Xenopus tropicalis: one gene and its partners. The protein of the gene in region 1 purifies or fractionates together with the protein of each later gene. This does not show direct contact. Links are inferred from orthologs where the notes say so. Each region holds a gene or a part of one and is shown in the gene's direction. Other genes may lie near its edges. The genes, in order: clspn, cdc45, timeless, atr and rad9a.

The links.
Region 2: the proteins of clspn (region 1) and cdc45 purify together in Homo sapiens (affinity purification with western blotting; 4 studies listed by BioGRID and IntAct, with this or other methods). This does not show direct contact. The link is inferred for Xenopus tropicalis from reciprocal best matches to the Homo sapiens genes CLSPN and CDC45.
Region 3: the proteins of clspn (region 1) and timeless purify together in Homo sapiens (affinity purification with western blotting; 4 studies listed by BioGRID). This does not show direct contact. The link is inferred for Xenopus tropicalis from reciprocal best matches to the Homo sapiens genes CLSPN and TIMELESS.
Region 4: the proteins of clspn (region 1) and atr purify together in Homo sapiens (affinity purification with western blotting; 3 studies listed by BioGRID). This does not show direct contact. The link is inferred for Xenopus tropicalis from reciprocal best matches to the Homo sapiens genes CLSPN and ATR.
Region 5: the proteins of clspn (region 1) and rad9a purify together in Homo sapiens (affinity purification with western blotting; 3 studies listed by BioGRID and IntAct, with this or other methods). This does not show direct contact. The link is inferred for Xenopus tropicalis from reciprocal best matches to the Homo sapiens genes CLSPN and RAD9A.

Annotation. Positions count from the first base shown.
Region 1 is NC_030678.2:81,832,968-81,839,604, reverse strand, and holds the start of clspn (claspin), read left to right. Parts: upstream 1-2,841; 5' UTR 2,842-2,977; coding exon 2,978-3,004; intron 3,005-3,015; exon of another isoform or gene 3,016-3,215; intron 3,216-4,960; coding exon 4,961-5,090; intron 5,091-5,935; coding exon 5,936-6,366; intron 6,367-6,637.
Region 2 is NC_030677.2:154,233,674-154,239,787, forward strand, and holds part of cdc45 (cell division control protein 45 homolog), read left to right. Parts: intron 1-1,648; coding exon 1,649-1,741; intron 1,742-2,843; coding exon 2,844-2,981; intron 2,982-3,070; coding exon 3,071-3,220; intron 3,221-3,443; coding exon 3,444-3,502; intron 3,503-4,820; coding exon 4,821-4,869; intron 4,870-5,121; coding exon 5,122-5,183; intron 5,184-5,295; coding exon 5,296-5,346; intron 5,347-6,114. UniProt on the Homo sapiens protein: Required for initiation of chromosomal DNA replication. Core component of CDC45-MCM-GINS (CMG) helicase, the molecular machine that unwinds template DNA during replication, and around which the replisome is built.
Region 3 is NC_030678.2:138,485,214-138,491,327, reverse strand, and holds part of timeless (protein timeless homolog), read left to right. Parts: intron 1-1,394; coding exon 1,395-1,614; intron 1,615-1,785; coding exon 1,786-1,854; intron 1,855-3,091; coding exon 3,092-3,210; intron 3,211-3,733; coding exon 3,734-3,935; intron 3,936-4,383; coding exon 4,384-4,447; intron 4,448-5,236; coding exon 5,237-5,307; intron 5,308-5,411; coding exon 5,412-5,475; intron 5,476-5,916; coding exon 5,917-5,984; intron 5,985-6,114. UniProt on the Homo sapiens protein: Plays an important role in the control of DNA replication, maintenance of replication fork stability, maintenance of genome stability throughout normal DNA replication, DNA repair and in the regulation of the circadian clock.
Region 4 is NC_030681.2:119,652,618-119,658,731, reverse strand, and holds part of atr (serine/threonine-protein kinase ATR), read left to right. Parts: intron 1-518; coding exon 519-703; intron 704-2,435; coding exon 2,436-2,630; intron 2,631-3,856; coding exon 3,857-4,065; intron 4,066-6,114. UniProt on the Homo sapiens protein: Serine/threonine protein kinase which activates checkpoint signaling upon genotoxic stresses such as ionizing radiation (IR), ultraviolet light (UV), or DNA replication stalling, thereby acting as a DNA damage sensor.
Region 5 is NC_030683.2:57,496,939-57,503,525, forward strand, and holds the start of rad9a (cell cycle checkpoint control protein RAD9A), read left to right. Parts: upstream 1-2,815; 5' UTR 2,816-2,856; intron 2,857-3,194; 5' UTR 3,195-3,271; intron 3,272-6,587. UniProt on the Homo sapiens protein: Component of the 9-1-1 cell-cycle checkpoint response complex that plays a major role in DNA repair. The 9-1-1 complex is recruited to DNA lesion upon damage by the RAD17-replication factor C (RFC) clamp loader complex.

The DNA of each region.
Region 1 (6,637 bases):
CCTGAGGATACTTTTAAATGAGGAAAAAAATGGTGAATGTGTTTTCTTTGTACAACTGTGATGATCTAGGGTGAAGATTTTGCAGCAGTTTCACTTTGTGCTCAAGATGCCATCCAACTAAATATGTTAACCATGTTGCTTACCAATTATACAATTGACAGATAGGGAAGAATTTTTTTTATTTTTTACTTCACTAACATATAAAGCAGTCTCAAACCAGCAGTTTTTATGTTATAGAAATCTTTAAGCAATCCCTTGCTACTTAAAACCTTTTTGTTGTGAGTAGCAAGTGCTTAGTGACTTTCTGCTGAATACATAATATTCTTACAACAGTAACTGCTGGTTCTACTGGCAACTGCTTCCCAGTCACTTGAATGAAAAAAACTGCAAATGATGCACTATTATGTGGTATTTTTCAGGTATGCCTGCATAGAACATTAATGATGACTGTGATTCCCACAAATACATCTATGCTTATGTAATTTATTAGAGAAAATGTATAATTTTTGGTGTAGCTATAGAAGCTTTTTCAATTACACCTGCTTTGCCCAAGTGCCTGGAATGTACAATGCCACACTCACCATAACGAAAATATGTCACAAGGCATAGAAAAGGTCAGCTTTGACACTTTCTGCAACTGTGATGTCATTCTTCTTTTTGTACAGGTCCAAAATACAGAAATACAATTTCCTGTAGTCTTTTTAAGTATGTAGTATATGACTGTAACTAAGCTGCACCCCCTGGAGCTCTCTCACTCACTCTCTTTGTCTCTCTATAAGGGCTCTGGCACACGGGGAGATTAGTCGCCCGCAACAAATCTCCCTGTTTGCGGGCGACTAATCTCCCCGGATTGCCATCCCACCGGCGATTTAACTGAAATCGCGCCGCCGCGTATGCCATCCCACCGGCGATTTATATTTTCGCCGGTGGGATGGCAATCCAGGGAGATTAGTCGCCCGCGAACAGGGAGATTTGTCGCGGGCGACTAATCTCCCCGTGTGCCAGAGCACCAACTCACTAAGGCTTCCCTGTATTATGGGGGTTTGTGTGACATGTATTGCATATTGTGTTACTGGAATCAGCCTGGATACACAATCTCCCACTATTTCCCAAGATGCAATAGGTTCCCCAGACTAGGGGATGTTGTTCCTTTCACTGATTTTAGTGAATTTGGAGAATCTTTCCCTAAAATGGGCTTTGCAGATGCCTTTACTCTTAGCACTAGTAGGGAGACACAGAACCAGAGTTTGGCAGTTATGCAGGGCTGCCAGCAAATATACACTTTTTTCCCAATGGGACCTCATTAAAAGGTAACATTTAACTTTGATGCGTTTTCTCCTCAGGCTCCCTTGAAATCTTCCTTTTTCCCAAATAACCAGTAGTTCTTACTAACTCTCACTTCCTTTTATTGTGTTAAAAAGGTTGGCTTTACAGGATCATGCATCTAAATAGCAAGTTTAGCTTTATACAAGTATATGATTTGAAACATGATACTAATGTTAAAAGTTATATAACATGTTGTGGATATGCCTTCAATTGATCTTTATTTGCAGGATTCACCAGGAATGAACTTTTTTGGGACACATATATACAATGTTTGGACTATAACTTGGACTTATATTGATTTATTACATATTCATAAATGGTTGGGTTTTTGTTGTATTTAAAAAGTGGATTGTATAATCACTGGCTATCACCTGACAAAAGGGCACGCCCTCCAAAACATTGTATGTTCTTTTTGGCATAATAAAACTTGGGGGGTAGTCCCCTACAGGAAGCCTTTGTGTGCCAGGATTTCTATTTATTTATATATTTATACATACCAGGGAGGGCCATCTCCCTTATTGCCGAGCAGCAAGGAGAAAAATCAGAGACCTGGGTGTGCATGTAAAAATTTGGTTACTTGCAACATTTGGGGAACCCATGTGTCAGATCATCAAATACTTCATTTTTGTTCCCAGTAGTGACAGGCTTCTTAGAGTTAGTCCCCTTCAGGAAGACCTTCTGCAATTTGTTTTGGGTTATGTAAAGTTTGCTTAGTTTTGTCTGTGATCACTTGTTCTAACTCTAATGTTTTTAATTTGTATTGCCAGTAGATCTATTTTGTTTCTTTTGTAATAACTATTTATTTTCAATTTTCTAAGTCCTATTTCCATGTTTATCAAATCTAATTGATGAAGCTCTCCTTTTATCTTTGTGATTTGTTTTGTAAGTTTTTTGGATGGGGAATTTTTTTTGATGTTTGTAACTGTGCTAGTTGCTGTTCAAGGGCTGATCTTTTTTGTGTATTGTGTTTCATTTGTCTGGTAGCCATTTGGATACATAATCCTCTGATGGTCTCCCACTTAGTGGAGGCTTGGGATTTTTCCTGTTTGCGCCCCAGTGTGGCCCTGGATATCAGTGCCAAGAAAGGGTTACACATACATAACACATACATGTATTATGGCCATCCACATACAAAGAAAAAAATAAAAAGTAGTAAAACACCACTTTCAGCACTAGGCAGATACTGAAGTTCCTCTCACTTCTGGAACTGTTAATACCCAATTAAAGTGCTTCTAAATAAGAAATTAATCAGAGTTTTCTAAAATATCTAAGACTGCAAAGTTCAAGCGTCATCCTAAATAGTCTTTAAGCTTAGTTCCTCCAGGGGTATCCGCCCGACAGTTCGCTACCAACTTTTAAAGGGCATCTTTCTGGGGCACAGGGGATGAATCTTGAATCGGTGACTTTCCAAACCAGGTCTCCAGGCGGCGCAATCATTGAGTTTGGGAGGCGGAAACCAAGTTGCTGGTGCACGTTCTAAAATGAGGAAATAGATGGAGAACGAGGCTTTGAACGCATACAGAAAATAACACGTCACTGTTGTGGGTGACAGTCATTGGATGGCTTTTTTTCTGCTCAACCCACACGTACAGGGCGCGAATTCTGAGGCGGCAGCTGGGAAGATTGGCGGGAGCTGTCAGCAGATAGCACCATGGCCGCGCTTTGTGAAGAAGAGCAGGTGAGGCGAACTACTCTATATAGGCAGCACTGGTAGTCATCTTGGAATAAATACTTGGCTTCTTACCGTTTGGCTATACCTGCGTTGGATTAGACCAGTCGGGTAGAACAACAAAGGCAATCGTGTTCACTTGCACAGACTATAGATATACCTATGTATAAGGGACGGGCTGACTAAATCACCGCAAAGCTCATGAAAAAACAAAAACCAGGTGTGAAAACCAAAACGCCATCTCTGGTTTTGGGCTGCATTTAAAATTAACATTTGTCGTGCGTGTGCACCGATAATACCTGGTATATCTAATAATACGCTCTTTATGTATTTGTGTTTCTTCCGTTTTGTTTAGGATAATATAGCCGTGTCTACGAGACTTATACATGAATGTAAATGTGTTTTAGGGTTCGAGTAAGTGTTGGCAAAAAGCTTATTGGCCAGTGCCCCTCTAGGCCCCCAGCAACTGCAGGGTCTGCTCTCTTTATAGTTACTCCCTTGTTTAGATTGTTCATCTGCAGTCCTGTGCTTATGGTGCAACCCATGTGTAGGAGTGCAGGGCTGCAGGCAAATATGTTCTGCAAATTCTAAGGTTTATAACTAACTTAAGGGGCATAATCTTAATAGAGAGAAGTATAACTCATTATACTGTTTAACTTGTCTTGTGTTATTGGATGTTTACATTTCTAAATCTGGAGTCTGAGCCTATTTTAGTAAATAGAATACAATAAATGTAATAGATATTAATACAATATATGAATGTTTGGGACCTTGGGTTTCCCTGATAAGCAGGTCCTTCAGTAATTTGGATCTCTATATCTTAAGTCTACTGAAAAAAACATTTAAATATTAATTAAATCCAATAGGATTGTTTTGCCTCCAATGGGTATTATTTATGTCTTAGTTGGAATCAAGTATATTGTACTGTTCTATTTATGCAGAAAAAGGAAATCATTCTAAAGAATAGAATTATTTTCTTATAATGAAGTCTATGGGGGATAGTCTTCCTGTAATTTGGGACTTTCTGGATAATGGATTTCTGGGTAATGGATCCAATGCTTGCATTAAATTATGATGTGGTTTGTTTAATAAACAAAGCTTTTCTTGCCTTTTTAGTGCTTAAGCCTGGGAAAGGACATAATGTGTATGTCCTCAGATGCCTTAAGAATATTTAAAAAAAAAAAGATATTGAAATATTGAATTTAGTGGGCTGGTGGGGGCGGTTTGGGCTTCTGTATACTTAAAATGCCAAGGCCTATTTTAAATGCCAGTCCAGGCCTGGTCCCCAGTGACATTTGCTTGGGGCTTGCATAAGGAAATTCTATAATCTATATTTGGATCCCTTACTGACCATACTGTTTGGGAACAAGGCATAAATAGAAAGCTGTGTAAAGAATAGCTGAAAAATAACAAGTTCTACTTTTTACCTTAAGGTGGTTGTTTACCTTTTCATTAACTTTATGATGTAGAGAGTTCTAATAAATAAATAAATAAATAAATATATATATATATATATATATATATATATATTATTAATTATAATTAATTCGTATTGGAGCCAAAACAATCCTATTGGGCTTAGTGTTTATAGAATTTTTTTTTTTTTTTTTTATGTATTCTTTATTTTTTGGTTTTTCAGCAGAAATGGGGTACAGAAAGAAAGAGGGGAATGGGGTAAGGACATTTATAATGGTCTGCATTTACAATCAGCTTTTGAAGTCAGGAGATAACACAAAGTTTTTTCTATTAATTGAAACACAGTTGGAGAAAGACATTTTATAGAATTTTTTTAGCAGACTTATGGTAGGAGATCTGAATTACGGAAAGACCCCTTATCCGGAAACCGCCAGGTCCCAAGCATTCTGGATAACTGGTCCCATACCTGTAGTTTAAATGTCTTTAATGTTCAATAATTTTACCTGGTGTTTTTTATTCTAAAACCTTTAACATTATTGTTTTAAATAGTTAGTTTTGGAACCAGAAGACAGCATCAGTCTGAAGATCTTGGAGACAGATTCTGACAGTGGTCAGGGCAGCTGTGAAATGGCTTCTGCTGATGATCAGAACAAAATATTGGATTGTATAGAGGACAGAGGTGTGTTGAAATAAAGTTATGCCTTCTGAAAGCAAGAATTTCCTTTAGACACAAGTGCCCCACAGATTGTAGCAGATAAGTTTTTGATCTTGATATAGCAGTCTTGATTTATAAGCGGTGATTAAACATTTAAAGGAGAAGGAAAGGCTAAGTCACTTGGCGGTGCCAAAATGTTAGGCACCCCCCAGTGACTTTAATCGCTTACCTTGTACCCCGGGCTGGTGCCCCTGTTAGGAGAAAACCAGCCTGGGGTACCTGTAGCGAGCGTTTCCTCCTTCCATGTTCACTCTGCCAGCAAAATCCATGGGCCGGCTCATGCGCTGTAGAGTGAAAAGCTGACTTTTTTGTGCGGCTTTTCACTCTACTGCGCATGCACAAGCGCGAACATGGAAGACGAGGCGCTCGCTGCAGGTACCCTGGGCTGGTGCGGTTTTCTCCGAACAGGGGTACAAGGTAAGAGTTTAAAGTCACTTGGGGGTTCCTGACATTTTGGCACACCCAAGTGACTTCTCCTTTTAAATCACATTGCATATTACAGTTATAAAAAAGGCATCATCTGTAAAGTCTGTATCATTGGTCTTCGACATGCTTAGTGCTTAGTAAAGTATGGACTCTGCTTAGATTATCATCTCTCAAATAATCCTTGTGTTAGTTAGATGTTTCAGCTGACTGTCTGCCCTGCAGAAGGTAGTGACTTTTTTTTTCTTTTCTTTTTTTAGGCCATTGTCTTGAGATTAAAACTATGTGAAAGTTGCTTTGTCCATACTTTGTCCATACATTTAACTTGATATTTGATTAAAAAGTTCATTTCAATAATATGCTATTTCCATCCTTTACCCAAACAGATACAGATGAAGAAGAATTCTTGGTGTGTAAAAAATCTAAAAGCAAGAAAATATTGGTGGAAAGTGACAGTGATGAAGAAATGGAAACAAGTAAAATTGCAGATAATGTGAAGGGGAACTCTAAAAATGATGAGGAGAACAATATTTCTGCTCATAGAGAAAAGCCACGAAGAATCCAGTCAGCTCTATTTGATAGTGACAACAGTGATAACGAGGTTGATGTTCAAATGAGTACACGTCAAAATACTATTGAGAGACCTGAGTCAGACCACGGTAGCTTGGAGAAAGAATCCCCTACAGTCAAGCATAAAACAAGCAAGTCCTTGAAGAAACAAGGTGACACCAATAAAGAGAAAAGAGTGAAAAATAAATCGAAGCACAAAATACAGAAAGAGGAGAAGGTTAAAAGGAGGACACAGCAAAAGTCAAAAGTACTACTTTTTAGATATACTAACCCTTCTTTATATTTTGTGTGAGAATTTTGAATTAAATAACATACCCAAGATAAGGACCAATACAAAACTAGCTGTTTATATGAGTATATAAACAAACTACTAGACCATTACTAAGGTGCTCTCAGAAATCATGCGTGTTGTTTGCTTTTTCATGTTTTGATTGCGTTAATGTTTCAAACCTCTATAGTGACTCCTAATATACATAACATACTATATGACCCCTGGGTTTCAGTGCAAAGACACCTTA
Region 2 (6,114 bases), on another chromosome or scaffold:
GACAGTGATAACCTGCACTTGAAGTAGTGAGCCATTTTTTGGGCCAAACCAGCTCTTTAAAGTCATGTGATTTTAATAACCATTTAGTTTAGGGGAATTAAAAAATCTGCAAACAGTGCTAGGATAATCCAAAATCCTGGATTTGGTGCATGCCTCTCCTTAATGCATTAAAGGTACCTGCCATTTAAAAATCTAGCACCAAAAAAGCATAAAATATGTAGTCTTAGCACTTTAAATATAGGCTGAAAACTGTTGATTTTTCTTAGTGAACTGGTAGACTATTTAGCATTTTTAAGAAATTTAAAAATGTCTAAAAAGTAGTTTTGTTTTTTTTTTCTCATTTTAAGTGTATGCTGGCCAAATTACCCACCAAGTAAACCCATCATTTGATACACCCTGGGTGTACTAGTAAAGGGCAAACAAGTGCAAGATCATTTGTATTATACGACTAGTCACAAATGTTTAAAGTATTCTGGATGCATGGACATTAATTGATGTTTTAGGAGTTTTCTTTAAAGGACATGTAAACCCCACGCACAAACAGCCTCTTAGAAATCTTTTTTTAATACCTGTCACACTGGTTGTCCAGAGGTTAATAGAAAGGCTGCAGCATCCCATTAATCACTTAGATTTCCTTCTCCTCCTGTAACCCACTCAGCCCCCTCCCTCAGAGATTTGCTTTGACTTCTGGCTTGTGGGCATGCTCAGTTGTTCTAAGCTCCGATTACCAAACACGCTCTCCAGTCTAGCAGCCAATGAAGAGATGGCATTTCTGGGTCCCATAGAAGCTCAGGTCTAGCTGTCTGCTTCAATGTTTTTCTTCTAACCTCCTGTCCTGAGCTCAGCTTAAACAAAGCAGAACTTTTATCGAAGACAGTTCTGCCTGTGTGAGCCTGTATTCTTTATGAAATGTATGCTGAATTCGGGTCTGTGTGTGTATGTTTGCAGATATAAATGTATTTGATTATGTATCAGGAAAAATGGCCACTGGGTGAAAGCTGCTATTTGCTTTAGAAAAAATGTAATTGTGCTGATAAACAGAGGGGGATATATGCAGTGCAAATTATGCCATTTGGGTGGGGGAAGACGTGCCCACCTGATATATATTGTAGGCAAATGTAGGCTTTACATGTCCTTTAAGAATCTGTATACAACTAAATTGCCCCCTCCCTCATCTGCTATGTTGGACTGTTTTAACAATCAAAACAAATCCGGTGTAAGCAAAGCCTTAAATGGGAACTCCATTTTAAAAGTATATGTACATTTTAATATTGAAGCAATATGCCTTTTTATATTTTTTTCTGACTTATAAGAACTTAAAATAAAAATAAATTAAATAAAATCTTGATCTCCTTACAGACAAAGCATCAGTTCCCATAGTGTAATGCAACAATGCATTGTGGGAGTTGGTGTCTTAGCTGGAGGAACGGTGACTTGCTGCATTGTTTAAACTCTAGGGACAAGAACAAAACTTTTAGACAGATGATGCGTGCAATATCATTTAATTTAATTGGATAGCTGCTAAAAATAATTAACTATATAAGGCTGCACAATGACGCTGAAACCCCCTCATGTAAACAGAGATATGATTTTTGTATTAAATGTCTTCTCTGATAGCTTAACCAGTGTTAATCTTTTTTGTGCACAGGCATTATTTCAGTGTGATCATGTACAGTATACCTTGGTCCCAGTCTCTGGCTGGCAGGAACTTGAAACATTGTTTCTTGAACATAAAGAACAGGTAATCTGTCATTCTTGTACTGTTTCTTTTCCAATTCTCATTTTATAGCATATGTAACCTCACCAGTGCTAGGTGTCTAGTTTGGCTGCATCTTATATCTGTTATACAGTCTGCAATTTTATTACCCATCACCTTCTTTCCAGATAAGGCCAGAGGTGATTTTAGTTGCAGGGGCAACTAGCTGTACATCCGCTTTCAGCATCATTCAACTTACGGCAGAAGTTTATAAATATAATATCAGTAACTGTGGTTTAGCTTTGATGCTCCTTCTTAAATGGCCAGTGGCACGTTCAAATAAAAATTCCCTGAATGCAGTTATACAATGATGTTTATTTCAAGCATTATCATTCATCTCATGCATTATGTAGGGGATCTAATTGCTTAAAATGGGATGGCTTAGCTACAGGAATGTAGCTAAAAGGAGTGAAGAAAAGCTTTCTAGTACTAGTTCTTAAAGGGGTTGTTCACCTTTGAATTCACTTTTAGTATGATGTAGAGAGGGAGATTCTGAGAATTTGCAATTGGTTTGCTTTTTTTAGAATGTTTAATTTGTTCTGCATCTCTCTAGTTTGGAATTTTAGCTGTTATCTGGTTGCTAGGGTCCAAATTGCCTTGGCAACCAGGGGTTTACTAAGGTAGAGTTGCAGTGAGAGACTAGAATATGAATAAGAGAAATGGTCTGAATAGAAAGATAAGTAATAAAAAGTAACAATAAAATTGTAGCCTCACAGAGCAATAGTTTTTTGGCCCCCATTTTAAAGCTGGAAAGAGTCTGAAGAAGAAGGCAAATAATTAAAAAAAAAAAAAAAAAAAAAAAAAATCTGTACAAACTAAATAATGAAGACCAATTGTTGCCATTCTGCCACATATTCAAAGTTAACATAAAGGTGAGCAACCACTTTAAGTTGCTGTATGTGCATTCTTATTTAATCAGTGAAAAGTTCAGGACGTCTGTAACATTTTAGAGGTTACTCACCTGGGCAAGAGCACTTTGTATACTGCCTTCCCAGTCCTAGTTTATTGTGTTTTTTTTTTTTTTTTTTTTGTTTTCCTGGCAGTGCTAATTCTGCCTGTATAATTTTTCCCCATTGTGTAATTACAGTTCCGTTACTTTGTTCTCATAAACTGTGGTGCAAACATAGACCTTCTAGAGACTCTACAGCCCCAAGAAGAGGCTATCTTTTACATATGTGACACTCACAGACCAATAGATGTGGTTAATATATACAATGATAGTCAGGTATGTAGTCTACAGAGTGATACTGGAAATCTTTCAGAAGTAGAAACACTGATCTGCTTATTTAATAAAAATTACCATTAAATTTAAAGATCAAGTTGCTGATCCGGCAGGATGATGACTTGGAAATACCTGCTTATGATGACATTTTCAATGATGATGAAGATGAGGAGGATGGGGATGATTCTGGAAATGAAAGTGATGGAGCAGAACCTTCTGGAAAGAGGAGGCGATTTGATGAGGTATATGTCTGTAATGTGTTATGTGCAAACACAGTTTATCTTAGCAGTTAAGGAATTTTGGTGAATTCTCAGTAACAAAATTTTAATTTGATATATAAGTGTAGCTTTTGTAACCCATTGTTAATTCTTGGTCCAGTTAAGCCATATTTTGTCAGTCTGCCTTGATTTCAAGTTTTGCTTGAAAAGCCTTACTAACATATACTGTTCAACCTTCTGTATTTAGGCAGCAGTGGAACGAAGGATAGAGAGGAGACGCCAGAGGAGGGAGTGGGAGGCTCGAAGGTAGTACCAAAAAGTTGTGCATCTTTTTTTAAATTTGTGCAGGTTTTTTGGTAATTCCATACGATATATCAAGTTGTCTGTAATTTTTGACCAAGAAAGCTATTATGTTTACCTTTTTTCATAGTACAGTCTGAGACAAAATAATGTTGTTGCACATGCAAATAAGATAATTGGGCTTATTTGCTATTAGAACTGGCTTGCAGTTGGCATTGGGTCAGGGCTGTCTGCAGGCTAGTCAGGTTCTTCTACTTCATTCTTAGAAAACCAGTTCTGCATGGACCTCCCTACGCATAGGGTGGCATTACTATGCTGAAACTAAGTGCTTTCCTGACTGTTGCCACAAATTAGTGAGCACATAATTTTTAAGAATGTCATTGTATTCTTTTTATTGTTTAGTACTAGGTCCCCTGGTTTTAATAAGCAAACTTTAACCCTACAGTGTACAATAACATTGACAATTCTGTGCTTCCTGCTTTGTGACACTCTTATAAGGTCTCTGCTTCTTACTCTGACAGCAATTTAGGGAAGGCTTTCTTTTTTTTGTACACAATAATTTCCCTATGTACAAAGCAATGAACATTGGGTCTGATTAAGCAGTGGAAGAAATTGACAGGCAGGTGTCTTAACCATGACCATGTAAGGCTTGCTTCAGGGCCGGATTTGTCTTCTGGGTGCCCCGTGGCCGCTCCTGTTGGTGGCCCCCCGCGCGCGCCAGCCGCGAGTGTGCATGCACTCCTTTAAACTTCCATACGGAGCAGTGGGGAGAGGTCCCGACTGCTCCGTATGGGAGCCAAATTTAAAAATTTTGTTGCGGCAGGGCGGCCCCTAAAACCCCTAAACTTTTGCTGCCCTAGGCCCGGGCCTTTGTGGCCTCTCCACAAATCCGGGCCTGGCTTGCTTGGGTGCTTTGTTCCACAAGGAACTGGCAAATTTTATTTGTCATTTTATGGCAGAAAGGTAGTGATTGAAAAGGCAATGTAAGAGTAACAAACTGTAGCCTTAAACTTGAATAATTGAAGCAAGTGAAACTTTACTCATAAGCCTGTCCTGAAGTAATTTTTTTTTAAAAATTACCATTACCTGGAATCCAACACTAATATAGCTTATGCTACATAAACCAAATCTGTGGCTTACTGAGGCTTGACTTGACAATAGCCAACCACTGTATAAGGTAACAGGAACACCACTGAGTATGTTGCATTTGAGTAAGCTTTAAGCTTCCCCCTTTAGTTACATTTGTATTATAGAATCAATCTATACTTGTTTTTTGATTACTGTTGACAGACTAGGCATTTAGCTGTCCCTTGTTTCTTTGCAGGAGAGAGATTCTTTTTGACTATGAGCAGTATGAATATCATGGAACATCAGTAAGTAGTAAAGCTGGTTATGCACTTCCATTATAGAAAGAAATTTATATATAATCTATATATCTTGCCAGCACTAATGCTTAATTTAACTTTCCTTTTTGGAATTAATTGGCATCTTTGGACTATAATGACTTTTTATTATAATTTGAAATTTTTAATTCCTATCATCCTGATATACCACTTTGGCACCTGAAACCATTGCTCATGTTTTGTTGTATTTATGATAACTAATTATTTCTTTTGTTTGTATAGTCTGCAATGATGATGTTTGAGTTGGCTTGGATTATGTCTAAGGATTCAAATGATATGTTATGGTAGGTATGCATTAGTTAGTATAATGAGGTATTACATTGTAGATTAAGCGTTTTTTTGTATCTGAATTATGTATTTTCCAGATAAAAGGAGAATGTTTATTTTCTTTTGCAGGTGGGCAATTGTTGGGCTGACAGACCAGTGGGTTCAGGACCGAATAACTCAGTATGTTAAACTGCTTTTATACTACTTTTGAAGAAATTGTGCTATTGTGTTGGCAAAAATTCAGTACTGTCATTAAGGCTAGCATTTTACAAGGGGACGTGTTATGGAAAACATTTGGATTCACAAAGAGCCATTCTCATGAGTGGCCAGTGTGCTTTGTGTTATTTCAGTGGAGATATTCAGACTTAAGCTTTGTTTTTTTTTTTGTTTTTTTTTTTTAATTTAAGCACTACATTGCAGTTATTTGCTTCTTATCCTGACTTCTACATATTGGCTCTTAAGGGGGTCCCATAGTCTGCAGAGTGCAGTCCCCTGAATTTATAGTTTTGCCACCACTATTTTACTTGAGGACAGAACTTATTTTAAGGTTGTACTTTTTTTCCCCACTAGTAGCCATTTTCTTTTTTTCATAATCCTTTTGCAAAAGTCAGCAGCATTATTTGCTGACCAGAGGGCATGGCCTTCGGGAAAAGAGTGGTTGCCTTAATGCTGTGGCTGAACATTTGTTATTAAGTATGCTCATATCCTGTTAGTTGCCATAAAATTATGAGCAAAGGTATTCCCTTACTTAAGCACATTAAGATTTTAAGAGGAGAGTGGCCCTTTAACTATAAAAACTAGAATAATTAGTTGGTTCAAGTCATGTCTTCCATTCCTGCTTGAAAAACATCGCTAGTGGTAGAAGTATTGTTATGACTCATTTAAAATGCTAAACTAGTAAAATATTATCCTAGTTTTGCTATAATTAGTATGACACTAACAGATTAC
Region 3 (6,114 bases), about 57 Mb from region 1:
TAGCTTCCCTTGAATTGAAGCAGGAAAGTAGTACCTGGATGAAGCTCAGACCTTCGTAGTACATAGATCATTTATGGACGTTTGTAGAACATAGATCCTTGCACAGAGTGCACATTGAGTTGCTTCTTGCCCTAGAGTAGGTAGCTCCCCTGCCCCAGCATAAACATCCATTAAGTCCATGTAATCCCCCAGTCAGCCTGGGGGAAGAAGAATCTGAATGATATTAATGCTATTGCACACATGGCTGTACTTATAGTAGTAATTCTAACCGCCAAGCTCCTTATTGTGACAAAAGCAGCATAGTGAGCATATAAGGAAGGGAGTGCTGTTATTTCTGGTAGATTATTTCACAAGTTTGCAGTTCAACATATATATTTTGTGGGGAGACAAAACTTTTTGTTATTCAAGTACTCCCAACTGCAGGAAACCTGTGGCCTAAAAAAATGCTGTCTCAGAAAAATGTATGCCACACCATTGCTACCACACCCCCTGTGGCATTCTGTTTGTCCTTAGTGAAACAGACATGCCAGTATAGATAATAAGCACTACATTATGCCCAGATATGCCAGCAAGATCTCTGAAGGAAATTGATTCAGAGCACTGCATAACCCAAGACATGCTAGTAAGGTCACTGCTGAAAATGAATTCTGAGCATTGCATTTACTTCATATATTCCATTAACGCACTATTGAAAATGAGTGTTGCACACTGAACTAATGCTTGACATCACAGAAACTTCACTGTAGAAAGTAGGTATTCAGCAGGATGATCCCTGTAGGAATGGATAAAGATTACTTCTTTCAAAAGCATTAATTCTAGATATGCCATGAAAATCACTTTCAAAAAATGTATAAGCACTACATTAACCTGTTAAACGCCAGTATAATTACACCAGTTATGCCAGAGGGATCACCGTTGATGTGGTTAACAAGCACTGTACTTACAGTCTGTGCATAAAATGGATTGTCACTGAATTTAACCCAACATATGCCATTATAATAATTTCTGAAAGCAAATCATTAGTGGAATCCTCACCTGTGCTCCCCCCTTAACACCCCCCCCCCCCCCCCCACTAGAATAGGAGAGAGTCAAAATTGACGGATACAACAAAATGCAACAGACATAAGAGAATTCCTTCCAAATTGTAATATTCCTGCAGTGGAGGGGGGGCTGACACCGTTAACTTGCCATTCTGCTAGACCTTCCCCATCTCTCTTCATTGCTGCTGATCAAATTAATAATCAGAACCAATATAGGTTATAAGGGGAATTATGATAAAATGTGGGAGTATTTGATTCTTTAGCATGCTTCATGTCAGATGAAGAGATTTCTAAAACAAAACAAAGAAAATATTTAGTATAATATATGAATATACTTGTGTGTCTTTTTTTCAGTCTGAAGAAGAGTTTCTCAATGATCTGGGGTTTGATGGAAAACACAGTGTGGATGATGTGGAAGAAGAGGAGGAGGAGGAAGAAGAAGAAGCAAGTGAAGAAGAAGAAGAGTGTGAAGACCTTAACTATAAACAAATTGCAAAAGAGCAAACAGGTGGCAGAATGGATCCATTTACCGATAAGAATATAAAGCATTTGGTGCACAAGTTACAGCAGGAAGGTGAATGTCCGCTCATATGCCAAATGTAAAATACATATGGAGCATCTGATTCAGTAAAGAGTAATTTATTGGAATGTTAATGGTTAAGACACAGTTATATAAAATGTATAATTTTATTTATTTATTTGTATTCCTTTTTTTTTCACTTGTTTTCCCCTCTTGAATTCACAGGTTTATCTGGTCCTCTTTTGTGGCTTCAAAACTGTTTAAACCGCACTGCCGAAGACAGAGAAGAGGATGGTGGGTAACTGCTGCTCCAGAACACTGTATTGTGACTTAAAGGGTTGGTTCACCTTCAAGTTAACTTTTAGTATGTTATACAATGGACAATTCTAATCAACTTTTCAATTGGTCTTCATTATTTATTTCTTTGATTTTAAATTATTTGCTTTGTTCTTATGACTCTTTCCAACTTTCAATTGGGGGTTACTGACCCCAGCAGCCAAAAAACTATTGGTCTGTGAGGCTACAATTTTATTGTTATTGGCACTTTCTATAACTTATTTTTCGATACAGGTCCTCTCCTATACCAGGCTCTCATTCAAACCACTCCTTGGTTGCTAAGGTAATTTGGACCCTAGCAACCAGATAGCTGCAAAAACTCTAAACTGAAGAGCTGCTGAACAAAAAGTGAAATAACAAAAACTACAACTAATAAAAAATGAAGGGCAATAGCAAATTATCTCAATATATTACACTCTACTATCATACTAAAAGTTGACTCAAAGGTGAACAACCCCTTTAAAACGCTATCTTAGCTATTTTAAATGCTGTTGATAAAGACATTTAATTCTTATAAATGAGCAAATAGTGCAGGCATCCCTCCAAGGTAATTTACCGGGCCACTGCAGTGTCCTCACCCCTGGCAGCGGGATGCAGTGGAGCTGGGAGAGGAAGGACGGAGCGGGAGCACGCAGGAGTGGGCCGTAGTTTGACCCCGCATCGAGAAGCAGGCAGCGAGAGTGGGCTGTAGTTTGAGGACGTGGGGGGCCGGGCTGTAGTTTGAGGACTATAGTCAGGCCCCCCAACAGTCTGAGGGACCATAAACTGGTCCCCTGTTTAAAATGTTTGATTATGCCTGATTTAATGCTTCAGTTTGAAAAGCAAAATTTTGCATTTGTGGAATATCTCAAGGAAAAACAGTTTTTGAGTATCAAGAGGCCCTTGTGAGATACAAGACTAGTGTGTATCTGCCCCCTACCATTGAGCCCTAGGCATGTGCCTCTCCTGCACCCCTAGTTCCTGACCTGCTGGTCTGTATTTGGGAACTGCCTTGGCTGTGTTTTAAAACCTAGTGACTATGATTTAGCCTATAGGCTAATGCATATCAATGAAAGTTTTAGGAGCAAAATTTGGTTTCCTTCCCAGAAGTCACTTTGCTGTGGTACTTTAATGTTTTGCTTTCATGTGCATGTACACCCGGACCCAATGTCAAGGGGTGAGCTTTACTGATTGTTGCTTGTTTTGTAACTGCCAGGCTCTTCTCAGGCAATTCCCCTTGTGCCTTTAACGGAAGACAATGAGGATGCTATGGAAAATAAAACATTCAAGAAACTGCTGAAGAAGTTGGGCATCCGTGCGCCTGCAAATGAGCAGGTAACCATCCATGGATTAAAATGTATATATGAGAAAGCCATTAGAATGATTGTGGGATTTGTTTTTTTTCTGTCCCTTCTCTATAATCCCTGCTTCTATAAAAATATGAGATTGCTCTATTTCCTTATTTATGGTTTGGGGTGAGGACCTTATCTAGTGTGGTAAAAATACATCCTTAGCATTTTATGTTGGGTTTAAAGCCTTATACAACTATATATCTGTGGATGTCCATTACTCTCTGTGCATGTTTATACTTTATATAGTGCTGTATTTATGCACCTTTGGCTTTGAAGTATGCTATTAGGACCCTGTTGTATCAAAGCTTTCTCGAGGCTAGAGCAAATGGTTAGAAACCAATTTTCTTTGAAAAGTTTATTTAGCAGGAAGTCCAAAAATTTTCTTTTTGTGTTTATTCTCCAATGAAGAGGTCAGTGGGTATTTGAACACATATAATGTTGAACTCCTATTTCCGTCAAAGCCACCTGCTCCAGTGACAGTATTTTACCTTCATTTACATTCATAGGAATCTTTCTGGCGCATCCCAGGTAAATTAAGTCCGGAACAGCTGCGCAAGGCAGCCTCCTGTCTTGTTCCCTTGGCTGCAGCAGTTGCCTGTGAGGTTCTTGCAAATGCTGAAGAACAAGAGGTAAATGTTGAGCAGAGGGCAGAAGCACTTCGTGCACTTTTACTTGCACGGAAAAAGAAATCATCAGAAGCTCAGCAAGGTAAACAAATAGAGGTTGCTTCAATAATTTACATGTTTGGCCTTTAAGGACAAGTCAACCCAAAATATAATTTTTTTTGCCCAATAAAATAAAACATAATTCTAAGCAACTTTGCAATATACATTTTTTTTTTTACAAATTTGCAATGGTTATTGACTTTGTATTTGTATATATAATTGCTATTATAAGTAGTAGTGTTTGCCAGTCCCTAAAGGTAACAGTCAGGAGTTCAGCAAATGCTGCTTTCTATAGCAATTACATTTTTAAAAAAATTTAGCGGTTTAAAAGTTATTTGTATTAATTTCACATTGGAAAGTTGCTTAGAATTATGTTTTCTTTTATTAGGCAAAAACATTTTTGGTTTACATGTCCTTTAAGGCCTGTAGCATCTAAGACATGTAAGTAATATATTAATATAGCAGTAGTTAACTAGTGCTTCTCCTTTTAGACCTTCAAGAAGAAAATCAGAAATCCCCAGATAAGTCATTACAATCCCAAAGCAAAACCAGAAGGTAAGTAACATAAATTATGTGAATTATTGCTATTTTAATACTCTAATTTTTCATCATATGTCATAGCTATTTCTAAGTAGAAAATTGTAACAATGGTGGCATATTCTATTCATATAAATAACAATTTAATTAAAGTATATATAAACCCCCCACACAAAAATGTAATCAGTGTACAGCCTCAAGGAAATCTTTAAATAACTGCCACTCTGGTTGTTAATAGTAAGGTTGCAGCATCCCCATAATTACTTGGGATTCCTTCTCTGACCCACTCTGCCCCCTCCCTTTAGAACTGACTTTGGCTCTTGGCTACTGAACATGCTCAGTTCTTCTAAGCTGAGGTTACTAAACACGCCCTCCAGTCTAGCAGCCAATAAAGAAATAGCACTGCTGGTTCCCATAGAATCTCTGCTCTAGCTGTCTGCTCCTATCTTTTTCTCCTAACCTTGTCTCCTGAACTCAGCTTAACCATTACATGGCTCAATCAAAGCAGAACTTTTTATAAGCCTGCATGCATCACTGCATAAACTTTACAGCGCACATGTGCTGTTTGCAGATGTAAATGGTACTGATGATGTCAGAGGGATAATGGCAGCCTGGTGAAAGCTATTTGTTTTATGAAAATGTGATGGCATTGGTGAACGGAGGGGAATAAATGCAGTACAAATTATGCTTTTGGGTGGGGTATATGTATCCAACTTATATAGATGGTAGGAAAATTTAGGGTTTATATGTCATTAAGGGCATAAAGAAACTTGGCTTTCAAATGAATTTGTTTATTTCATTTAATAGACCAAAGACAGCAAAGAAGAGAAGTAAAATGGTTGACAGTGATGAAGAGAATTCTGTAGACAATACTAATGGTTTGTGACATTTAAATGTGGCACTTAATATATCAAACTTACTGTAAATATTCATTTTCTGTTATTCCACAAGCTTACTTTAATAAAGACACTTCATATTTCAGAGAACAAGGAGTCAGAGCAGCTGCCAATGGATGCCATAACAGAGAGAGAAACCAAACCGAATAGGTAAGAGGTGCGCTATGCGTTGTAAGGGAGAACCCCCAGTCTGTTGAGCCAGGAGTGTTAAAGGGTGCCTTCAAGTTTTAGTGCAGAACTGGCAATACAAAGGCAAAGCCCTGTAATGATGTAGCACAAGAATAACAGGCTTAATGTCCCTAAAAAGGGATGGGAAATGATACACCAATACAAAGTGTAGTAGGAAAAAGACATAATTTACATAAATTCCTATCCCTATGTTTCTCATAAATCATTTTAAACACTATAATAAAAATACAGATAAATTTAGGCCACACAGGTCATTGCTCTGTGTCTAAAGTTATTTTTTCATAATATCATAATTTCATAATCATATAGCATAGCATATCATTTCATGATAGTATTTGCCTCTATATAGTAGACTTCTCAGCAGACACCGCTGCAAACTAACAGATTTATGTTTTTAAATAGACCAAAGAAATCAAAGAAAAGAAGTCGTATAGTGGACAGTGATGATGACTCTGTGACAGAAGAGCATGGTGTGTACAAATGAGCTGTTGCTGTGCAGTGTCCAATTATTCAAATTGTTAGATATCATTTTTTTCCTGTGCAATGCTCACATTGGTTTCTGTTTAAGGTTGCTTTGTTTTACATATATCATATGCTTTT
Region 4 (6,114 bases), on another chromosome or scaffold:
AAACTGGGGTGATAAGATTTAATATGGGTTCAGCAGCCTTGATGCTGCTTACAGCAAGAGAATTTACTTTTTATTAGACCTGGGTGCAGTGTCTCAGGTAGGTAATTCCTTTTAATGTGAATATAAGAATAATAATATTAACAATATTATACTGTTGGACACAATATGGACACATTAAGGACACATTACTGCTACAAAAGTGGATGGGGTGTACAGATGTAGGCGTGGCCAGATTTTCCATGCAGTGCAGACTCACCTGATCATGTGTTCCTAGGGTTCACACTGAAAATCTGATTATGATATATAGATAGATAATATATATGTGTAAATATATATATATATATATATATATATATATATATATATATATATATGCTTTGCATTTTCTACAAAAATCCTTGTTCCTCCTCTTATTTCCTCTTATTTCTAATTTATTTCATTCAGCAACTTAATTTTTACAATCTGCTCCACAGTATGCTTATGTTTGTCATTGTCTGTATAACTTTTTCTTTTAACAGTACTTGGTTTTCCCCCTTCATGAAGCATTAAGAGTAGAAAGTTTGGCATACATGCAGCAGCAAAGCATGCAGCCCTTAAGCACAGACTCAGAGGGTGGTGGGAGCAGCAGCAGCGATGAAGTTCAGGAGAAGCGACCACGTCTAAGCCTAACTGCAAAACCCCTGAGGAGGAACATACCATCAACGTAATGATTTTACTTAATACAAGACCTTATGAGACCTATGTTCTGTCTGCAATTTGAAAGCAATTCTGTGAAGTTTAAGATTATAATTTAGTACAATTTCTCTATAGAGTGTATCTTACTCCTCACAAAAAAGCTAAAATATACCAGGGTGCATCAGATATGTGTCCTAAATGTTCAAACAATGTGGGTACTTACTACCGTGTTTTTTGGGAGTGCCCCCTGATACGGGCTTTCTGGAGGGAAGTGTTGGCATACAAAGAAAGTACACTATATTTTCCGAACATTCTTTCCCCCAATTTGTGTCTTCTGGGGGTTGTGGGAACGCTATCTTAAGGTGGCCATACACGTAGCGACTTCGATGGTCGCATGAAAGATCGTTTCCACCCTCCACTGACGTTCAGGGCTGAATCATCCAATATGGAGGTAGAAACAATAGAAATTCTACCTTCTTTAATTGAAGGCGCCCGATCAAAATCTTTTAGCCCACCCAATCGATGAGACAACCTATATCCACAGCCTTTTGCGATATAGGTCGCCTCGACAAGCCCGCCATAAATGTACCGAATATCGTACGAAATATCCAATACAATATCATCGATGCGTGTATGGCCAGCTTAACCTATGTGCAACTATACAATGTACTGAACACCAGTGCTTTTAGTTACTTCCTTGTCCATCTTGAAGCTCCTTCCCCCTTTTGCTTTCTTAGCACTCCTTCTCTCTCTGATTATAAAGACTTCAAATAGGTGCCTACTGGGCATGCTCACTGCCTCTGCTCCAATTAAAATCATACGGGAATGCCACACCTTTTTGGGGTCATCATAGTCGGAGAGAGAAGGAATGCCCAGAAAGCAAAAGAGGACAGAGTTTCATGCTAGACAAGGAAGTAAGTAAAAGAACTGCTGTTAAGTTTGTAACAGAAACAAAAGCAGGGAGAATGGTATGTTATTCTGGGGGCTGTAAAAAGTAATTTTAGAGATTTAAAAAAAAAAAAAAATGGTTTACTTATTCTTTAATGAACAGCTAATTTTGTTGCTGAAAAAGAATAAAAAGAAAAGTGTGTGTGTGTATGTGTATATATATATATATATATATATATATATATATATATATATATATATATATATATATATATATATATATATATATATATATATATATATATAATATGGTGTGGCTCTGCCCAAGGTTAAAATAGCCTCATTTGGAGGAATATGAGGTAATATGAACAATACAATATTTGAAATGTTTACTTGAAAAGCAAAAGGCTGGCCAGCCTGCTAATATCTTATTATCAATATCACACCAATAAATATTAAAAACTATACAAAGTAACCACCAATCTATCCATAGATAACACCATAAATGCATTCAAATGTGCCTCAAAAAGCAGTACAATCTCATCAATAAACAAAGTTACAAAAAAAAAAAAACCTCTGCTTATATGAAAAAACAGAATAGACAGAAAATAGTTGCAAATTAATAATATGGTTATCCTTATAAAGTAATACATCTGAAAGGTGTAAATATGTAAACAGACAGCAACTGATATTAATAAGTTGTGATAAGCTAATTTGTCCCGTTTCGCCATAAAATTTGCGAAATGCGCTTCGCCAATGGCGAAATGCGGAAATTCATTGCGAATCCATGCCTGGCGAAAAAATTCGCTCATCACTATAAATAAGCAATGTAAATGATCAGTGTTCAAAGTCAATATTTTTCTTGATGATAGACCTGCACCTGTGGATATGAAGACAAAGAGCATGCTTTGGAAAGCAGTGAGTGCAAAACTCTCCTCTCTTTTATGCAAATTGGAAGGCGATGAGGTTTCAGAAGAAGAGATGGTTTCTTTATTGGAGGGTGTCAATACAACTATATGTGTTGCTGCTCTCAGTATAGTTCATATCTTCGCTAAAAATTCAACACAGTAAGTGTATGTGTATGTGCTTGCATTTGATGTTTTCATGCTACTACTATGATAAGCTGTCATCTGGTAGTATTTATAATGTTTTACAGAATAATAATACAGAAAGTTAGTTGCTTTATACTGGTACAGTGACTAATAAATGATACTCAATGATATTAACATTTAATATTTAGTACAAACGTAAATGTTCTATCTGCAGGGTGTGATAACTCCAGCTCCTGCAATGTACGTTCGGTGCAGCTCGGTGCCTCACACTAAATTACAGTTTACCTCTGTAGGCTGGATTTACCTGACACTGAGAATTTAGTACATACATATTTATTATTGCAAGAAGTGTCTGCAATATATTTATTGCATGCATTTATTACAGTAAGATAAAGGCAGCCCTCTTCTATCTTCATACTTTACATTGCAGCCTCTCTGTGCTTCTTTCTTGAATGTAATATTAAAGGAGTTGTTTGCCTTTGTACAACGTTCACGAATGTAACAGTTCACATTAATAGAACAATCTTAGCCATATACAAAGTTAACAAAAATGTGCAGCTGAAGAGAATCATCCCTTTGCTGATCCTTTAAGTCTACGCAGACACTACAGTCACCTTTTTACTTCCTTTTATGATGTAACGCATAGTACTGGCAGCAGACTTAACTCCTATTGGCTGTGTCTCCTGTCAGTCTGTGCCTGTGACAGTGCTGTAAATCTAACATAACAGTATGTTAGATTTGTAATATGCTGAGTCTGTTTATCTGTGTCATTGCAAGGGAGAAATTAGCCAATGGCCTTTTAATTTATGCAACTGGTTAGAGTACAGAAGCAACCAATGAATTGGTCCAATAGGAAAAAAGTACGGCAAAGCCTGGATGTGATGATGTAAGCAAATAGGAAGTTCTTATTGCATCAGGTTCAAAATAGGCCATTCTTATCCCTTCAGAAAACTGAGCAGAGAGACAGGAGCAGGACTGATTTAACAGGTATAAAATGTAGCTTTTACAGTGGCATTTTCTAACATGCTGAGATCATTGTTGGTGGTTTAATAAGATTTAAACATTGAAGGTGAACAACCCCTTTAAGCCCTTTACTCCAGTTTTGGGCCATTGAAATTGCTGAGGTTCTTTAAGTAGTTTAGGGTTAGGTCTGTCCTTTTGTCCCTAGTTACAAATTATTTGAAACTCTTAATGTTTTGTTGTCCTGTGTAATCCTGCTTTGTACTATTTTGTGTTCACAGCACTAATCAGTCAGTATCTGACTTGAGCAATACTTCTGGCATTCAGTTGGTAGAAATGGTACCTCAGGTTTCCTGGGTCAGTCCAGAGGATATACTAAAAATACTTAAAATTTGCAGAAAGATTCTTGATTCTGCACACCAGCGAGCCAGTATAAATGACATTCTGATGAAGATAATCAAAATATTTGATGCAATACTCTACATTCATGGTAAGCAGTAATATTGATTTTTTGTTGTTTATAGACATGTGGATATAGACGGGGATTTTCGGAGACATATGCTATTGGTATAAAAAGGCACACTTTATTATAGTGTCTATTTGCATAACAATAAGCAGAATTGCATATATAAGAACAATAAAAAAACAACACCACGAGCCAAAATACTTCATGATCACTTTATAGGGGAATTAAACACAAACAATTAATATGGCTATAAATGCAGTATTCTCTATACTTAGCTTATTGCACCAGCCTAAAGGTTCAGCATCTCTGTAACAGGCCAGACCTTTAATATTGTCACAGGAGCTCCCCATCTTGGGAATGTGTCACTTGTGTCATTGTGTAGTTGTATTTATTCCCTTGAGCCACCCATCCTTTGTTAATACTTTTGTGTATAGTTACTGCTAATTTGGATGTCACTGAAGCACCTTTTGGGCTAGTAGCTCTCTGTGTTTTGAAACAATTTGCAGTTGGTGTTCATTTTTAATTTTTTGTGGTTTTTGATAAATTTATCTTCTCCAGTTTGGAATTATGGTTGTTAGCATTCAGTTACCCTAGCAACCAAGCAGGGAAAATGAAAAGCAGAGAGCCCAAATAATAAAAAGTAAGTGTAACCCGGTGTAAAGCCAAACCGAGCCTTTTGTAGGTTGCCAGTCCACATAGGGGCTACCAAATATCCAATTATAGCTCTTATTTGCAACCCCCAGGGACTTTTTTCATGCAAGTGTTGCTCCCCAACACTTTTTTCATTTGAATGTAGCTCACGGGTATAAAAAGTTGGATATCCCTGCCTTAAAGGGACAGTATACCACCCTTTTTTAACATGAGCTCAATTATAGCACTTGTACTTAACATACTTCTTGCCTATTGTTTTAATTCCGAAATTCCTATGGTTTCTTTTCCTGTCACTTTCTGATCTCATGAAGGTAGGGGTTTGTTTGTTTAAAAGTAGGTGGGAGCTCTGAACAAACTACCCAGTTTATATAGGAAGGGGGAATTGAGTTCAGTGAACTTAGCCCAACTTTCAATTTTGTGCTCTGTAAAGGCAAAACATAGGAAAATTGATTTGTTCAACTTAAAACGATAGGCAGAATGTATTTTCATCACAATCCTATTTAATGTGCTAATTTTCCTTTTTCTTTGTGATATTAAAATAGTGCCTTATACTTGATCCCAGCTAAGATATAATTAATCATTATTAGAAGCAAAACAATCCGATTGGGGTTTTTTAAATGCTTAAATCATTTCTTAACACAATAAATATGACGTGTTGAAATTACATTATGTTTTAATTAAAAAAAAATCCTATTTCTTTTGCCATTATAAAGCTTTAATTTGAAAGTTGGGCTATTTTCACTGACCTTAACCCCCCCCCCCCCTTCCTTTTTTAAACAGAGCAATTTGTTCAGAGCTCCTTATCTGCCTTTGAACAAGCAACCTCCCTAAGGGCAGTGGTACTTGGGGAAATTAGCCGCCCGCAACAAATCTCCCTTGTTGCGGGTGACTAATCTCCCTGATATGCAGTCCCACCGGCTTGACTGTAAATCGCCGGTGAGATGGCATATGCGGCACCGTGATTTCCCAAAATCGTGGAAGTTTCCTCTCAAGGCAACTTCCATGATTTCAGGAAATCGCAGCGCCGCATATGCCTTCCCACCAGCGATTTACAGTCAAACCAGTGGAATGGCATATCGGGGGGATTAGTCGTCTGCGACTAATCTCCCTGTCTACCACGGCCTTAAGAAGCAGCCTTTAAGCAGCTCATTATTAGGGGTTTCTCAGTGGACTGGTGATTAGTTTTATCAGTTGCTTTGAAGTTCATTTTATCAGTAAGTGACAGGAACTAGTAAAGTGAAACTGGCTTTGTATTCTTGTTTAGTGCCAAAAATAACGTAAACCATAGATATTTCTTTATTAAAACAATAGGCAAAAAGTATGTTCAGCACAAGCCCAATTCAATAAGCTCATTTTGAAAGGGGTGTATACTGTCCCTATAAGCCCTAGCAAGTACATAGGTATTAGGGTGAAGACCCACAG
Region 5 (6,587 bases), on another chromosome or scaffold:
GAAAAAAAAGCAATCGGACGCATTCGGCCCGTTCGTGGGTAAGTAAATGTGCCCCTAGATGTCAGGTCCTTTGACAATCGGGTAAGAAGTGGGTGTCCCCTTGGCTTGTCGCCTAGGGGGTTGGGGACTCACTGCATGGTGGAAAAAGCCGTTGGTGCACTAAGGAAGCCCTTAAATGCGAAGCATGCAGGCACTTACAGCATTTTTCTGCCAGCATGTGTACTGTGACATGCTGTCTGCCTGCACATGTAATTTTTGGGGAAATTAGCTATGGTAGGCAGGTATGCAGAAGAGACAGGGACACAACATGTGACATCACGTTTTTCCTCAAAACATGTTTATGCTGGGAGGAGTTTACCCCAAATAAACTTAACTGTCAGTTCATCAAACATGGTTATGATTTGTCCCTGCTTTGGGGCTCTCACCTTCCAGGGTAACTTTCACATTGGAACCTTTTGTCCCGGGGCTTCTCACCATCCCCAATGACCTTCACACAACCAAAGTGCCTCTCACACTCGTGAACACTCTGGGCTATTCACTCAGCCCTGCAGTCTCTCCCCTCCTGGGATACCAGCTCAACAGCTTCTGGCACAATTAGACTTCTCACCAAGCCTCAACATTCCAGCACTTAAACTCATGGTCACGGCTCCTTGCAGTGGCAGGCAGCACCCCCAGCCCCTCTGGGAGTTCCTCATACAGTCAGGCAACCTTCCTGTCCTGTGCCCTGCTCTGAGATACATTTCTCTGTGACTCCTTACTTGGTTACTGCTCCCTCTGCTCCTTGCAGTTGCAGGTGGCACCCTCAGCTCCTCTGGTAGTTCCTAACACAGGCAGGCAACCTTCCTGCCCTGTGCCCTGATCTGAGAGTGAACCCCTCTGAGTCCCCCAACCTTAATCACCAGTCACCTATCACCCCCCTTGCCGTGTAATCCCACAGCTCTTTTATGTGTTGCTCACCTGCAGCCTAATCGGGCAGCTTCTTACAGCTGGCCAAATCAAAATGCTAAATTGGAGTATGGAATGGAGGACCTATTCTATTAACCCTCCATTTACTCCAGGACTCACCTATCCGGCTTTTTTTTTTACTCTGCTTGCATGAATACAGCATTAGCTGCTGCTAAACCAGGCATTTTCCCTGGTGCTACCTGTATCTCACCTTTAACAATGGTGGAAAATACACCAAACAGTGCTCTTACTGCTTGTATCTCTCACAGTACCCACAATCAAAACCATACCTTGGAGGCACACACAGACTGACCCAACCTATCCCCCCCATTCCTGACAAATAGAAGGTCTACCCCCCTCATTGTCCTAACCCCAAAGACACAAACATACCTAGAGGTGCCTCACTTTCCCACAGTCAGGTATACAAGTTATACAACTAGGGACACATACACTGCAAGGCATACACATACCTAAGATACATAAATAATGTCTTACTTACACACCTCCACCCCCCCATTTATAACTACAGACCTCACCTGCTGCCACAGCCCACTCACATCATAGGTAGGTCTAGTTTCCCTACACACTGCTCTAGAGTCAAATACCCCCACAGACATAAACCTACCACAGCTCATGTAATCTCACCACACACTGTACCTCCCCCACTAGCACATCTAAATACTTATGCCACCCATATTACTAACACAATCTCCCCTCAATATTCTGGGTAAAAAAAAAAAGCACAACCGAAATTTTAAGCAAATGTAGGGACCCATAGGGTTAAATGCCCTATGGAGTGATATCCCTACCTCTTCACATAGATCCCTTGTTACTGGAAGCCTTTGTAACAGTTTATAGTTATGCCTATACTTTATTGGCCCATATGGTTGTCCACACTCCTTGCAGCCTCATATAATGTCTAGCAAGGAGGTGTGGCTGCCTGTCTGCTTCCCAACAACAGCTCCATTGAGCCTGGGTGCAGACATAGGCCCCAGTAAGCCATATTCTTTGAAGTAAAGTCGGGGACAGGGCCCCGTGAACGAGGTAAAGTTAGTCTCAGGACTAGACTCTGTCATAGCACACTCTAGGGGGCTGATTTACTAATCCACGAATTCGAATGGGAAAAATTCGGATTGGAAACGAACATTTTGCGACTTTTTCGTATATTTTGCCTTCCACTTAGCGAAGGCCACCCCTTTGAAATAGAGTCCCAATGTGCCCCATGCTCTAACCATAGCCTGGCATTTAAAGTGCTTTTTAGCCAAAAAGGGGTTACATACACAAAACCTCCCCCAAAATTATCTAACATGCCAAAAACATAAGCACACTCCAAAACTCTTCCCCATAGTTTAAAATTGTGCAACACGTCAACCCAGCTGGAAAAAAAAAATCAATAACCACCCTTCAAAAAAATGCACACCCCCAAAACTCATCAGCACCCTTACCCCAAAAAATACAAGCACTCCACATATAAGCAGGCTCCAACAACCCCCTAAAATTAAGGGCACACACCTTACATAGAATAGATCCACAGCCTCCACTGAACATCAAGTGTCCCAGTATTCAGGCAACTGAATAAACTCCTACATTTAATTCTGTCCCAAGAAAAAAATAATGCTACCCAGCGCAACCCAATACTCAATAGCGCACTGTGACACTACTTTTAATGAGCCATTCTCTCCATAGCATCCCCGAGTAACCACCTATAATCTATTTACACAGGCATTTGAAGAAGGCGCTGAATGTTACGTGTTGGAGACGTCGCCACGTCTTCACGTGTTTGTGACGTCACTCACGGCCACAGGAACTAGATATATAAATGGCTTTTGGAAACCGTTTAAGACCGAGTCGGGACTGAGGGCTGAGTTAAGAGAAGCGGACCTGTCCAGCTAAAAGCGGGACTATTGGGCGGTATGTGAGCGGGGCCGACCTTTAAAATTAGTTGATAGTATATCCTTTTTCTGAAAAGGAGAACGTTTAGACTAAAGCGTAAGATGGTACAACTCGTTACTTTAAGACCAAAAACCTCCAAATAAGTTGTCTTGAATATGCCTTTGGATCAGCACGAACGTACATGCAGTCGTCATTTAGAGGCATTAATGCTTAACAATTTTAATTGGCTAGTTGTTAAAATTTGACCTACACGAATGCATTAATCCATAGAAATGCATATTATGGGTCTCTACTGAACTGGTAACAATACTTTCAAATACGCATTATGACTATTTTTTTAATTTTTTTTTTTTAAGCTGTAGTGCAAGAGGAAGTTCTCTAAATGAAGATTGAAGGGGTTCTCCTTTCAAAAACTTGTTTTGCTTATAGAAAGGTAATGCAATTCTAATTAACTGTCCAATATACTTTATTTACAAACTTTCAGTAGTTTTAAAGTGATTTGTTAATGTAATATCTAAAAAGCTTTATTTGTCTTGCTTACATTCTCTGCACTCCTGGCTTTGATTTTGGAGCAATAATACAAGGCAGCTGGATAAAAATACCTAGAGGAGACCTGACCCTGTAACATTGTTTTAAGAGTAAAGGTGGCCATACACGCACCAATAATATCGTACGAAACCTCGTTTCGTACGATATTCGGTGCGTGTATGGTATGTCGGCGAGTCGACCGATATCGCAGGAAGCTGCTGATATCGGCCGACTCGCCGATCGGACCAGTTTGAAAATTTTGATTGGGCGCCATAGAAGGCGCCTGACCAAAATCTCCCTTCAGCGCTGAATCAGCAGAAGGAGCAGAAGGAGGTAGAAATCCTATTGTTTCTACCTCCTTACCGATGGTTGCACGAAACATCGTCAGATTGCCACGTGTATGGCCAGCTTAAGACCCAGACAATAGAAAGGGATAGAGAATTACTGCTTTTATTTGCAATTCCATGTACAGGTAATATAGTGTAAGGTGCATAGATAGGGAAGAAACTTTGTGATGTTACATGTCTCTGTGTATTGAAATTGAATAAATGGGCTTAAAGGAAAAAGAAAGTCAAAGTCACTTGGGGGTGCCAAAATGTTAGGCACCCCCAAGTGACTTTGACCACCTACATTTTACCCCGGGCTGGTGCCCCTGTGAGGAGGGAACAGCACCAGCCCGGGGTAGCTGCCGGCGCTTGCCTCTGCCTGATTCGCTGCGCGTGCATGCGCAGTAGAGTGAAAAGCCGAACTTAAACTTTAAAGTCGGCTTTTCACTCTACTGCGCATTCGCCCACCGCTGGCATTCCAGAAACGGAAGCCGGAATAAGGAAACGATCCGCTCCAGGTGCCCCGGGCTGGTGCTATTTTCTCCTAACAGGGGCACCAGCCCGGGGTACGAGGTAAGCGGTTAAAGTCACTTGGGGTGCCTAACATTTTGGCACCCCCAAGTGATTTTACCTTTCGTTTCCCTTTAAATGAGAAGGAAAGGCTAATAGTTAATTTCAAGCTGCAGGCATACCTTCAGTTTTCTCAATAGTGCCTTTAAGTCCCCCCATATTTCTCCTGTTCAGATGATCAGAAACCTCATAGGAAAAAAAAAATCTAAGCTTTGAAAAGAAAGTTCCCATAATTCCTCACTCCTGGACCGAGACCATTGTACATGCTCAGTTTGTAAGACGATGAGGAAGTTTCCTACTGATTGGCTCAGATCACACATTTCTAAGAGGGGGGGGGGGAAGTGAGTTCTTAGCATTCTTGAGGGAGGGGGAGAGAGCTGCATGTCTCTGGCACAGGAAAACAAAGACAACAAATCCTGTTTCTTTTGAGAGAACTCAGTGCAGTGTTTTTATAGACCTTTCCCTTTCTGATAAATACTTTCAGCTTAAAGGAGACATATTGGAAACATTGAAAAAACCCCAATTTTGTAGGCAATTATGAATAATATATGGTGCTGATTTCACTTTTGGCTAAATTGAACACTGTCAAAAATGGCCCCTTTATTGGAGCTCCCTATAGATCATCTCAGGTCTCTGTCAGGACATGCCCACCTTTCATTTGAAATGATGTGATGTGCAGTGTCATTTTTTCATCTGACCAAGCTTCAACATGTTTTTTCTTTAGCAGTGGTGTCTTGCGCGTTGAGCCTGCAAAGAGGCCATGTTGGTTGAGTGCATTACTTATTGTTTTTTTTAAACAACTGTACAAGGTGTTTCTGAAGCTCTCCATGAGTGATCCTTGGCTCTTGGACAATTTTTCTGATTATTCTTTTGATTACTCTGTCAGAAATATTGGGAGGAACACCTGGTCGTGCCCTTTTAATGTGAAATGATGTTCTTTCCTCTTCCGGGTTATGGCCCCAACTGTGCTCACTGGAACATTCAGAAGCTTAGAAATACATCTATAACTAATGCCATCAGTATGTATTGCAACAATAAGGTTGCAAAGGTCTTGAGAGAGCTCTTTGCTATTACCCATCATGAGATGCTTCTTGTGTGATACCTTGGTAATGAGAAACCATTTATTAGGACTAAGCCAGCTGAAATTATTTTGCACTGATAGGGGGCAGGATTGCTTTCAAAATACTGACAAATGTCAGCAGGTTTCTTTGCTTTCCATGCCTCTTCTTCATGTGTTCAATACTTATTCCCTGTGTCATTCCACTTTATTACACATAACTTAATTTAAAGACTTATTTGTTTTGATTTCTTTGTATGTGTGGATTTCTTGGGTTGTTACCAATATCTGGTGTAAATTTCATGTCAATAGCCCCTTTTGAAATATATTTACTGTGAAAAATGTTGATGTGTGCAATACTTCTTTTCCCTGCTGAATGTGCATCATGGGCTGTTCGATGGGGTTGGACTTGAGCAACTTTTTTTTTTTTTCCCTAACCCCTATTAACTATGAAACGTCCAATATATAGTAACACTGAGGGGCAGATTTATCATAGTGTGAAATTAGATCTCGTCACAGAAACACTCCATTTCATTCATGGGATTTTTAGAAGTGTATTTATCAATAGGTGAAAGATCTATTTGATAAATAATTTTGATTGATAAGCTTTTAAAACAAACCTTCCTTTCCTTGTTTTACTCACCAAAAAAAAAAAAAAGCCGCACAGGTATTAATTATAAAAGTGCCTCTCAGTAAATTCACTCTTTACTTATAATAATTCAATAGGCTTAACCCTTTAAGTGCCAGCCGAATTCGTCATTTCAGTTCCCCCCAGTGCCAGACGTTTTGTAAACATTCTGTGCTCTCTCAATGTAGGGGCTTTTACTGGGGGCAGGGTTAAGTTTAGGTAGGCAAACTATATATTGTTTTTTTCAGGAGAACCTGAGCTTTCCAAATCTACCTGAGTTTTTGTGTATTTCCACTTCTGGAACAAGATTTAGAGCTTGAAATACAAAAAAAAAAAAGAAAAAATGCTATTTTTCATGATATAAGGATTTATACCAGAAACACATTTTATTTTATGGACAAATATTCAACTGATTTGGAAAGCCTCATGTCTCCCGAACGTGCCAATACCTGATATGTATAGTTTTATTGAGATTTCTGACTTCTATAGATCAAAAACTCCCAGCAGTAAATTACTAAATTTTAAAAGCATTACAGCAGAATACGGCATACTTTACATTCCAAAGCCAAAAATCCTGGAATATTAGGTTTACCCCAGGAAACCATACATTTTTGAAAACTACACATTCTGACGAATCCGA